2 linked regions of the Drosophila melanogaster genome follow. The protein of the gene in region 1 purifies or fractionates together with the protein of each later gene. This does not show direct contact. Each region holds a gene or a part of one and is shown on either strand. Other genes may lie near its edges.

Region 1 (5,046 bases):
CCTTAGTTTGCTATAGCACTCCGGATCATTGTCCGTTTATTCAGAGCGAAGAAAGGGAATACATAAGGTGCAATACTAGCAACTCCTTTTTGTTGACCACTGGCAGAGAAAGAGAGGAGATGGACGGGGAAGATGGATATGAAGGTGAGGATAGGGAGCACCGCAGAGAAGTGGAAGCAACGTGCAACACTGCACCTTGGCGGAGCATGCTTAACAGCACGCCACTCTGGGCCCTGGTTTCCACCTCCATGCAGCAGGAATTCCAACAGAAATTGCCCCAGGAGCTGCAAATTGCGCTAGAGGAAGTAAGAGCCCGTGGCACCAGTTTCTCAGAACTAACCACCATCATCGAAACGATAGCACCGTCCGTTGGAAACTGGATAGCTTCACTGACAACAGGGCGGCTGAGCGACGTGCTAATCGAGCAGCAGATTCTCACGCGCACTCAGACACGCCGCCTCATGTCCTGGTTGGTCTTCCTATGCGGATCCATGTACATGCTACAGATCAAGATGAGCGGAGCACGAATCTGGAGCGTTCTTGGCATGGGAGCCTACTATGCGAGCATTAAGCTGCTACCGCTGGATATGAGTCCCAACTATGCTGGCACTTTGATGGGCATTTCGGGCGGCATGGGCGCGCTTCCAGCACTTCTGATGCCCTATCTGGAACAACTGGAGACCGACTACAAGCTGGTGAGCAGTGTGAGGGCCGCCATGTGGGTAATCGGCGCCAGCTACATATCCGGCGATGTCCAGGCGTTTAACCAACCGGAACGGGAGCCACAATGAGGAGACTTGCTTGTTTTAAGTTTAATCTTACGCTTAAACATAAGCTACTGGATTTGTCTTAGTGGATTCCTTAGGCAACAGATTCTAGTTTACATATGTACCATAATACATGACAATTTCTATGCTAAAGCTAGGAGCATAAACGTAAACAAGCTTTATATATATATATATAAATAACAGGTATGGTCGATATTAACTTAATTAGAGTAGGACTGCTGGCTAAATGCTCCGCGCTGGCTCTTATTTTCTCGGGATATCAATCCCAACACACACCGGTTTCATACTCTATGCAACGCCCTGGGCCATCAATCCGGATTGGGCCATTGCCGACACTGAGTTCATGTCGATACCCAGCTTTTTGGTGACGTTGATTTGGGCCACTGCCGCGTTGCGCAGCGAGTAAACGTGCACCAACTCCGCCTGACTCTTGGCATAAAGCAGTGCCTTTTCAAAAAGCTCGACGGCCCGTGTGAGTTGCGCCCGCTGAACTTCGACTGTTCCGAGTGTCTCGTAGGCCAGCTCGCATTTGGGATCTACTTCGATCGCCTTGTTGAGCAGCTGGACAGCCAAATTAATGTCTCCGCGCCACTGAAGCACCATGATGGCCTGGTGAACGATAAGTGCAGGATTTGTTGGCGCCAATACCATGGCCTTTTTGTAGTATTCCTCCGCCTGGGTAAACTGTTGCTGGTCGGCCAACACCTGAGCCGTTAGACTATAGCACTCAACGCAGCTCGGGAAACGCTCGATGGCATTTTGGAAGGTGTGCATTACGCTCTCCAAGCGCCGCTGGTCGCCGGCCAGGAGGGATAGTCGGTACTCGGCATAGCACTTCTGGACGAAGGCGATGGCGTGGTTGGGTGCAATGCTCACCGCCTTTTCGAACTCGGCCAAGGCGGGCTCTATCTGCTCCAGCAGCAGAAGTATCTGGGCGCGCTGGTGGTACACATCTGGGTTCTCTGGGTTCAGGCGTTCCGCCTCAGCAAAATCGGCTATACCCTTTTCGCGCTGATCCAGCTGGATGTAGAGAGCTGCCCGCTTTATGTAGGCATACGCACGCAAGTTGGGATCAGCATAGTCTGTAGTGAAATAAAGTTAATAGAATAGAAATCAAAAAACAACTGAAGAAAACCGACTAATTAATGAATTAAACTTAAACAAATTCTTACCATTAGCTATAATAGCATCAAAGTCCTGCTGGCTTTCTACATAGGAGCCGCACAGCAGATGGAAAGTTCCCCGCATAAGCAGAGCCTCCACTTTGTACTGTGCTTCGGCCTCGGAGGATTCGATCTCTTCGGTGCAGGCGGGAATAATTTCCTCGTACTTCTCCTCGAGGAAAGCGAGGTGGGCGCGCAGGAAACCCTTTGGGGGTGCATCGGATTTAGGGGCTGGGACTTTCATGGTCTGCAGCGGATCCGCGATGAAGGAACGCGTGTAGGTGTTTACGAAGCAAGCCGACGGCACGACTGGCACCCGATTGCGCATACCCTTCTCGGCGTCCAGTCGGCCGGTCTCCTTGAGCACACGGTCAGCGAACATGATAGTTTGATTATTTTGGAACATCTCCAGGATACAGGTGGCTGTGACATCGTCCAAGCACTCGTTCATATCCTTGGTGGCTTCGTGAGCACGGGCACGACGATAATATGCCTTGGCGTAACGAGGATTGAACTCCAGCGAGGCTGTGCAGTCCTCCTTGACGTTGGACCACTTCTTGAGCATCTCGTAAGAGGCGGCGCGGTTCTGGTAGAAGATGGCCATGTCAGTGCGGTGCTCCTTGGGACACTTGTCGATGGCCTTGTCATAGAATTTAATGGCCTCATCGTACTTCCCATTCCTGTAGCAGTTGTTACCCTCCGTCTTGTAGTTGTTGGCCTCCTTAAGAGGCGACAGCTTCTCGCCCAGCTCAGCGGACTTTTGATTGCGCTCTAGCTCCTGGTCCGGTGCGGTGCCGTCCAGGGAGATGGCCTGCTTCTCGATCTTGGCCTTTGGTCTCTTCTTCTCCCCGTCCAACTCCTTGGACGCAGCCGTCCAGCTCTTCACCGCATAGGTGCCCAGTCCAATGGCCAGGGGAGTTCCAAGGATGAGCGCCAGCTGCCACTTTGTCAGCTTCATCGAGCCAATGTTCAGAGTCATCGCCATTGAGCCGGTCTTTTTATGGATGTGTGTTATGTGTGATGAACTGCAAGAAAAGAGCTGAATCAGTTTGGGTGCCGCCACAAATTGTGTAATACTCCGCTGGCTTATCGCTCAGCGCCTTTTGAGCTTGCTAAATGCCGGGCGGGGGGCACGTTTCTGCAGTACCTAACCCCCAACCCAATTGATTTTTCACACCCCCAACTGGCCGGGATGTGAATCAGTGCAGTCAGCGAACGGAACTTACACTTTTTTAAAACTTTACACTGCTGTGAATTTGGCAATTGTTAAACGTCGATTGTTCTATTTTCAGTTAGAACTCGGGAAACTTAGATTCTATTGTATATCAGCCTGCTGAGCACACGACATCGAAAAACGATAGACATCGATAGGTATGGAGTAATAACGGCACTGCGAATGCTTATTATGGAAGAAGAAGATCAGTGAGAGAATAAATTGTGTGAATAGTTTAAAAAAAAACTAAGGAGTTCGAATATGATGTATTTGTAATAAAGCCTGAATTTATACTTTACGAATACTGTACGAATAAATATTTTAGATCTCTATATTACATTCTATCAGACCGAAACAGAGTTCTTAAATTTTAAAATCGGTTTCATCCACTTTACAAATTGAAATACAAATGCATTGTAATATTACAATCAATGTATTTATAGGAATTCACTAGAATACACGGACAGCCTATGGGTGATTCTCCTCATCTGTGCTGGAAGTTGGAGCTGGAGCAGGAGCAGAAGCGGAACTGGTAGTCGACTTATCGGTTTCCGTAACCAAGATCTTGTCCAGATTCTCCAGTTTAACTAGGCCCTGGGAATCGGCGTTGTGGATGAGATCACATATTGTGGGCGACTCCACGACCAGGATATACTGGCACGTCTTCGGCTCAAGCAGGTACATGGATACAGCGGTGCCGCTGTTCGTTACAGGTGTGCAGGTTAACTTCACGTCCACTTCGCGGGGCACTCCAATCTGTTCGCAGTGGGTTCCCTTGCCATAATGGTGCCAGATGGATGTCGTGAAGCCGGAACGGCGTGCACCCTTGTCCGGGTTGGCGTTGGACCAAGCACGATGCGCTTCCTCTGAGAAGTAGCCAAGAAAGAGCTCCACTTCGCTGGTCTTATCTTTGTGGAACTGACGCACATGTCGGCCATAGCAGAACTCGTACTTCCACCAGCCATTGCCCTAAAAAAAAGAGTATTATTGAAGCAAATGCATGGGTCAGCTGCATGTTATTCCTACCCCAGTTAGGCAGTTCTTGCCCGATATAAAGTCCTTAAGGGGCGTCAGATCAGTGATGGGTGTTGGTCCAGTTTCAGAGGCTGCTATAGACAGCAGGAGCTGCTGAAAGTCTCCGTCTACCTTCAGGTCACCATTCCTGAAATGCTCGAGCAGGACTTTTTCCATATCACCGCCATAGTTAAGGGTGACCAAATCGCCATCCGTCTTGGGCCACAGATTTTCCGTAGCCTTTTCCTTGAAAACCAGCAGATCCGCCTCGGATTCAACCCATTCCTTTAGCTCCGACCGCAGCATGCTCAGCGGTCTGTGCGGTTTCGATTCGGAGTTGAAACATTGTATGGATAGTTCCTTGGTCTCTTCGGCATGAAGGGCGCGAATTGGGCACAGCGCCGAGGAAAGTATAATGGCCTCATAATTGCACGAGGATGTCTCCTTGAAGGAGTAGATATCGTTCTTACCATGGGGATAGCACACATAACGCACCATTGTGGTGCGAGGAGCGTTAATTATGTCGCACATAGTGCCATCGCTGTATTCCATCTCAAAGTATGGATACCGAGTGTTGTCGATCTTCAGGCTTTTGTATTTCGGCTTAACGCCCGCCTTGATGTCTGCTTGCCAGGCTTTTGTCAGTATTTCCATCTTTTCATCGGTCCATTTGCCCAGGTAGTACTCCTGGAACTTGACGTTCTTTCCTTCGCGCTCCTCGTGATACTGACGCACATGGTGGCCATGGCAGATTTCGTACGACCAGTAGGCCTCGATGCGGTACGTGCAAGTCAGGGCGGAGAAAATGGGCTGCAGCAGAGTAATTGGAGCTGCGGAATTCGGAAATTATGTATAATCCAATGGGATG
Region 2 (5,075 bases), on another chromosome or scaffold:
CAATCTGGAACGGGAACTCTCCGCCAATCTGTTCACCCAAACGCTCCGTTTGATAGCCCATCAAATCGATGACTTCATGCTCGAGAGCATGGTCATGAACACGAAGTTCTCAGCTGCGGGAGCAGCGCAATTCAATTATGACATGACACGCAATTTATTCGCGCTCTTTGGACAGTATACACGTCGTCCCGAGCTGCTCTTCAAGCGGTGAGTCATCTCTACATTTGCTATGGTGCACAATAAACATAAATCTGACACCTTTCATTTCCATTCGATTCGCCAGAACACACGATGCCTGCAAGCTGCTGGCGGCGGCACGAGGAACAGCTTTGTTGCTGCTGGAAACGCTGCGTGGTAATCAATCGGTGGAGGAGAAGACGAAGCCGCTGAGGGAACTGCATGTGCTCAGCATGGACAGCAAACAGTGCATTGAGGTTCTGGAGCGGAGGATGGACATAAAGATGTTTTAGGTGATGGAAATTAATTTAAGCTAGTTAATTGGGCCCTAGGAACTTTTGAAATGATATACAACGTTCGGACGCCGTTTTTTTGCGAAATAAAATCATTAACACCCAAAATGAAAGTTAAAAGATGTTTATCGTAATTTACATTCATTTTATTTGAAGAAAGGCATGTGTATAAACATAGTTATCATGACGGAGATTTAACTAATTTGTATTTAACCAGGACACAGTTTCGAACTCGTGCGAATGCTAGTAACAAACGACCAAGTTGTATGAATGAGATATAATTTTGAGTACATATTTACAATTAAATAGCAATTCGTTGCTCTAGGCGCACAAGTCTTGAATGTTTTTTGTGATAATTAAACATTTAGTTGGAATTGTGGTCTCAATGTTTGGTTTAATTTGTAAAACGTTGACACAAAAACATGCGGTAACTTTAACTTTAATAATAAATTGATCTAAAAATACATAGCGTAAAATAGCATATAAACCGGCCTGATCGGGCTCGAATCGCATATCAATACTGATTCATGGCTGATCAGGGCGTATTGTATATCCCTATCGTCGGATGACAAACAATTGCAGTTAGTAAATACCAATTTGCGACTCGAGACGCACATCACACATCATCATCACATCGTGGAACGGACCAAGGCGCATTGCCCGCAGAGAGTAACTTTTATGTCTACACTAAATAACCGATAATAATCCGATCTGCGGGCGCCGTTCGCCTTTGTATCCCCCCCTTTCTATTCAAAGTTCTGATAATTCTCGGCGCTGACGAACTGTGCCCGTTGCTGGGGTGTCATGTTGAGATTACCGCGGTTCTTGTTGTTGTAGGCCCAGATGACGCCGGTGGAGATCAGGGCAATGGTCAGCCAGCCCATGAAGAACAACTGCAGCCACATGTGCTCGCCGCCGCTGTGATCCACGATAATTCCAGCCACGATAGTGATGACCGCCAAGCCAAGATTCTGTATCGATTGGCAGAAGCCGTAGGCCGTGCCCAATTGGTATTCCGGAATGATGAGAGCCACCAGAGGCCACAGGCTTGCGGCCAGCATGGAATACGACAGTCCCATGATGATCATGCCCACATAGGGTGTCAGCTGGGTGAACGTAAGCAGGGCATGGGCTCCAATGGTGGTCAGTGTCGCTGTGAACACCCAGGTCACATTCCTACCCAGTTTGTCGATGATGAAACCAAAGACCGGAGACGATACGGCTGCAATTAGATACACCAGCGAGTCCACGGTGTTGGCCTCAGCAGGCGAAAGCCCGAAGCGATCAACAAAGAAATTCTGTCCGAGGGCAATGAATGGGAAGATGGCCACATAGTAGGCGACGCAAATGATGGATACCATCCAAAAGGGTGGTTTGAACGAAAAGACATCGGTGAGTTTCGGTATCTGTCCAGCCGGGTTGTTGTTACGCTGCAAAATCCGCTCGGCCCTCTTGTCCATCCAGCCGAGGATGAGGGCACAGGTCATCGACATCACACAGGTGAGGGTAGCCAGCAATAAGACGACGCCTAGAGCGGTATGTCCCTTGTAAAAATTGCTCACATACTCATAGATGGGCTGCATCACCCAGAAGTTGACGGTGCTGCCGAATCGGGCAACCGACAGCTGCAGGCCGAATACCATGTTCAGTTCCTTGCCCTTAAACCAGAGCACCGCATAGCTGTTCTGGGCCACCGCCAGTGATTCGGCGCCAATGCCGAAGATAAACCGTCCCAGGATCATCATCCAGAAGGCGTCCAGAATGCCGCCGCAGGCAAAGATCAACTGACCCACCAGCAGGATCATCATGTAGATAATCGTGCCCAGTCGAATGCCAAACAGTCGATCGATCAGGAAACCTCCCACGAAGCACAGGACGACATTGGGCCACGAGTAAATCGAGTAGATGAGTGTGAACTGGGCGGAGGTCAGATTAAGATCTTTCTTGAAATAGTTCTGCAGGGCGCCGGGTGCATCGTAACAGAAATAGGAGCCGAATCCCAGCAGGCACATGAACACCAGAGCCATGAACCGGTGGCTCGTGCTCGAGGGCATGCAGCAGCCGCCGGACGGAAGGCTCAGTTCATTGTCACGCCGACCGGCCCGACTGACCACTTGGTCCTCCTCCGTCGGTCGCGACACCTCCTCATTGTCCACGATGCGTTCCTCGTCCTCGCGCGCCATCTCCACTCACCGCTGGCACAATCCGCACTGACCAGTTGGATGTGGAGCCGAATCCCGCAGAATGGGCGTATGCAAAACTATGTGATATGATTAATCGGCTTTCTGATTTCCTGCCGCAGTTGTTTTTTCTTTTGCTTTCGTTTTTCTCTTTTCGTATTTGCCGTTTCTGCAAAATATTTGTATCAATTTCTGCGAACGAGTGAGCGAGTTGAACTCTTCTGCTTTGTCTTGGCTTATCTCGCTGCTTTTGTTTTTGTTTACTGTACTAGTACCCTTTGTCTAACAACTATTGTTGTTGTTGGCTGTGTGGGCTAGTTAGTTGTCTCTGGGTTCACTGGTTATCAGCAGTTTTTCCACTCCACTTGCAGCTGAAGTTCGCAGTGCGGTGTTGGGCAACAAATGTTCGGTGACGTGTGCAACCGCACTTTATTGCTGATCGAATAAAACTAAATTCTTTCCTCTGCCTAATTAACGTTAATTACGCATATACAATGGCGGGGCTGCCAACTCGCTGTAGAGCAGGGTTGTCGACGCAGCTACAGGTGCATTCGAACAGCTGGCAGGCGATAACGATCACAAATATGAACGGTATTCCTGTTTTGCTCTCCATTATAATCGAAAGTTTACTCTAATTGAAATGCAAATTTTAGTAAGCCATGATTATTTATATAATAGAATTATATAAATAAAAATAAAAACGCTTGATTATATTAATAAAACAAGATAATCATTAATTGAGAAACTATTTAAGTACAAGAGCTCAACGACGCAGAAATCTCTTGCATCTTGTTTTGATTTAATTTAGTATAGCCTGACAACCCTAATCCAGCAACGCCGAGTTGAAGCATGTTTTCATACTTTTTACCGGGTAAAATGTATTTAATTATATAATTCAGCGGCCCTTGCAGCAATGGATCCCATCGACACCACCAAGCGAAAGCCCAGACGCACCTACGGCACGCCATCCTACACGTATCGCAATCGATTTGCCTATGCCCTCTTGGCCGCCGGAACTGTGCTCTTCGGCATTTGGAGGTGAGCAGATCTTCGAACTTAACGTATAAATGTGGTTTTAATGCTTGCCACCGCCTCGTTTTCAGCCTGACTCCCATCCAGCGCATTGCCAACGAGAAGCTGTCCCAGGCGGTGGCCCAAACCGAACAGGAGCGCGATAGGAAAGGACTCTTTGAGTTCGGCGCACCAAGGACTTCGCAGTTCATCAGGGACGCCATCAAGGAGAGCGAGGAGCAGAGGAACAAATAATGGATCGCAAGACGCGGCGAGCCAACTTCAAAAACCTGCAGCCTCGGTAATTTTAATTGAAATAAAGGCCAATAAAATGAATGTCATTATCTAACCGAACACTTTGTTTTCCTTTCATCCGAAGTTTGACGCGAAGCACCAAAGCAGCCGCAGATACATTATCGTTATCCAACTTCTTTGCCACACCCGAAAATGCTGAAGAAGTTCCGTCATGTCTCGCCGACATTCCTGTTCAGCCCGATCCTCCTGCGCCAAAAATCAAACCAATACGCACCAGCAATGTGTTCGAAAAACCTGGGCCCAAGCCCAAAAAGGCACCCAAGCTCAAGGCCAGCACTGTGTCAACGTCGAGTGGGGCGCGTCGTGGACGCGGAAAGAGCAAACAACAGCCCAGTATCAGCAACTTTCTACGCAACGAGCAGATCTTCGCGGAGGTTACCGCCCAGCATTGCATGGCGGACAACTTTAGTGCGGATGACATTGAAATGGCGCTGGCGCTGTCCAAATCGGAGAGTGAGAAGCATGGACGCCTTCGTCTGCATGACGATGACGATGCGGTGGTTGACCTACTGGATGATGAAGAGAAGTCCACTGAGAGAATACGTCATAAACTGCAGAAGTATGGCTTCCGCACAGCCGCCAAGGAAGGTAAGTCATCTTATAAAGTGTAAACGGTAAGATTGGACTTACGTTTTATCCCCATTTAGATTATAAATCTCTGGCGGTCCTGCCCGTGGTGGCCAGCAAAGGAGGTAGACGTGGCAAGTGGGCCAATAGGTTTACTTCCCTAACTTTAAGAAATCCGGATGTGCAACAGAAGAAGCTCGAGGAGAAAGTGTCTGCATTGCTTGGCCAAGAAATGCGCGGCAAGGAGCCCAACGGGGAAGACTGTTGTCTGACACCATACACTGTGATCACCGCAGCATTGAAGGAACTCAGAGCTGAGGGTGAATCTCGCATCCTTCGGGAACCAAGCGAAGGGCCCATAGATGACCTAGAATCATACTACGTAACCGACTTGTTTGAAGTTAGTCGCACGCCGGCACACCATCTTTTGAAGAATTGGGCAGCGATACAGGGAAGGGATTTTTCGCCAGAGCGTGAGACCCAAAAATGCCGCCAATTAAGGCAACAACATGAGCTTGTCTACGCTGAGTTG

Evidence for each region.
Region 2: the proteins of Tom70 (region 1) and mrva purify together in Drosophila melanogaster (affinity purification with mass spectrometry, with the first as the bait; one large-scale study listed by BioGRID). This does not show direct contact.

The regions. Positions count from the first base shown.
Region 1 is NT_033779.5:12,035,195-12,040,240, forward strand, and holds Tom70 (translocase of outer membrane 70), read right to left. Parts: upstream 3,318-5,046; 5' UTR 3,099-3,317; exon of another isoform or gene 2,977-3,098; 5' UTR 2,937-2,976; coding exon 1,961-2,936; intron 1,871-1,960; coding exon 1,077-1,870; 3' UTR 809-1,076; downstream 1-808. Other genes in the region: CG18788 (uncharacterized protein), read left to right, coding at 1-791; CG6766 (uncharacterized protein), read right to left, coding at 3,633-4,133, 4,191-5,008.
Region 2 is NT_037436.4:7,325,676-7,330,750, forward strand, and holds mrva (minerva), read right to left. Parts: upstream 3,168-5,075; 5' UTR 2,654-3,167; coding exon 1,217-2,653; 3' UTR 598-1,216; downstream 1-597. Other genes in the region: Rint1 (RAD50 interactor 1), read left to right, coding at 1-207, 284-470; CG42307 (uncharacterized protein), read left to right, coding at 3,564-3,688, 3,754-3,916; mus312 (mutagen-sensitive 312), read left to right, coding at 3,916-3,962, 4,041-4,564, 4,624-5,075.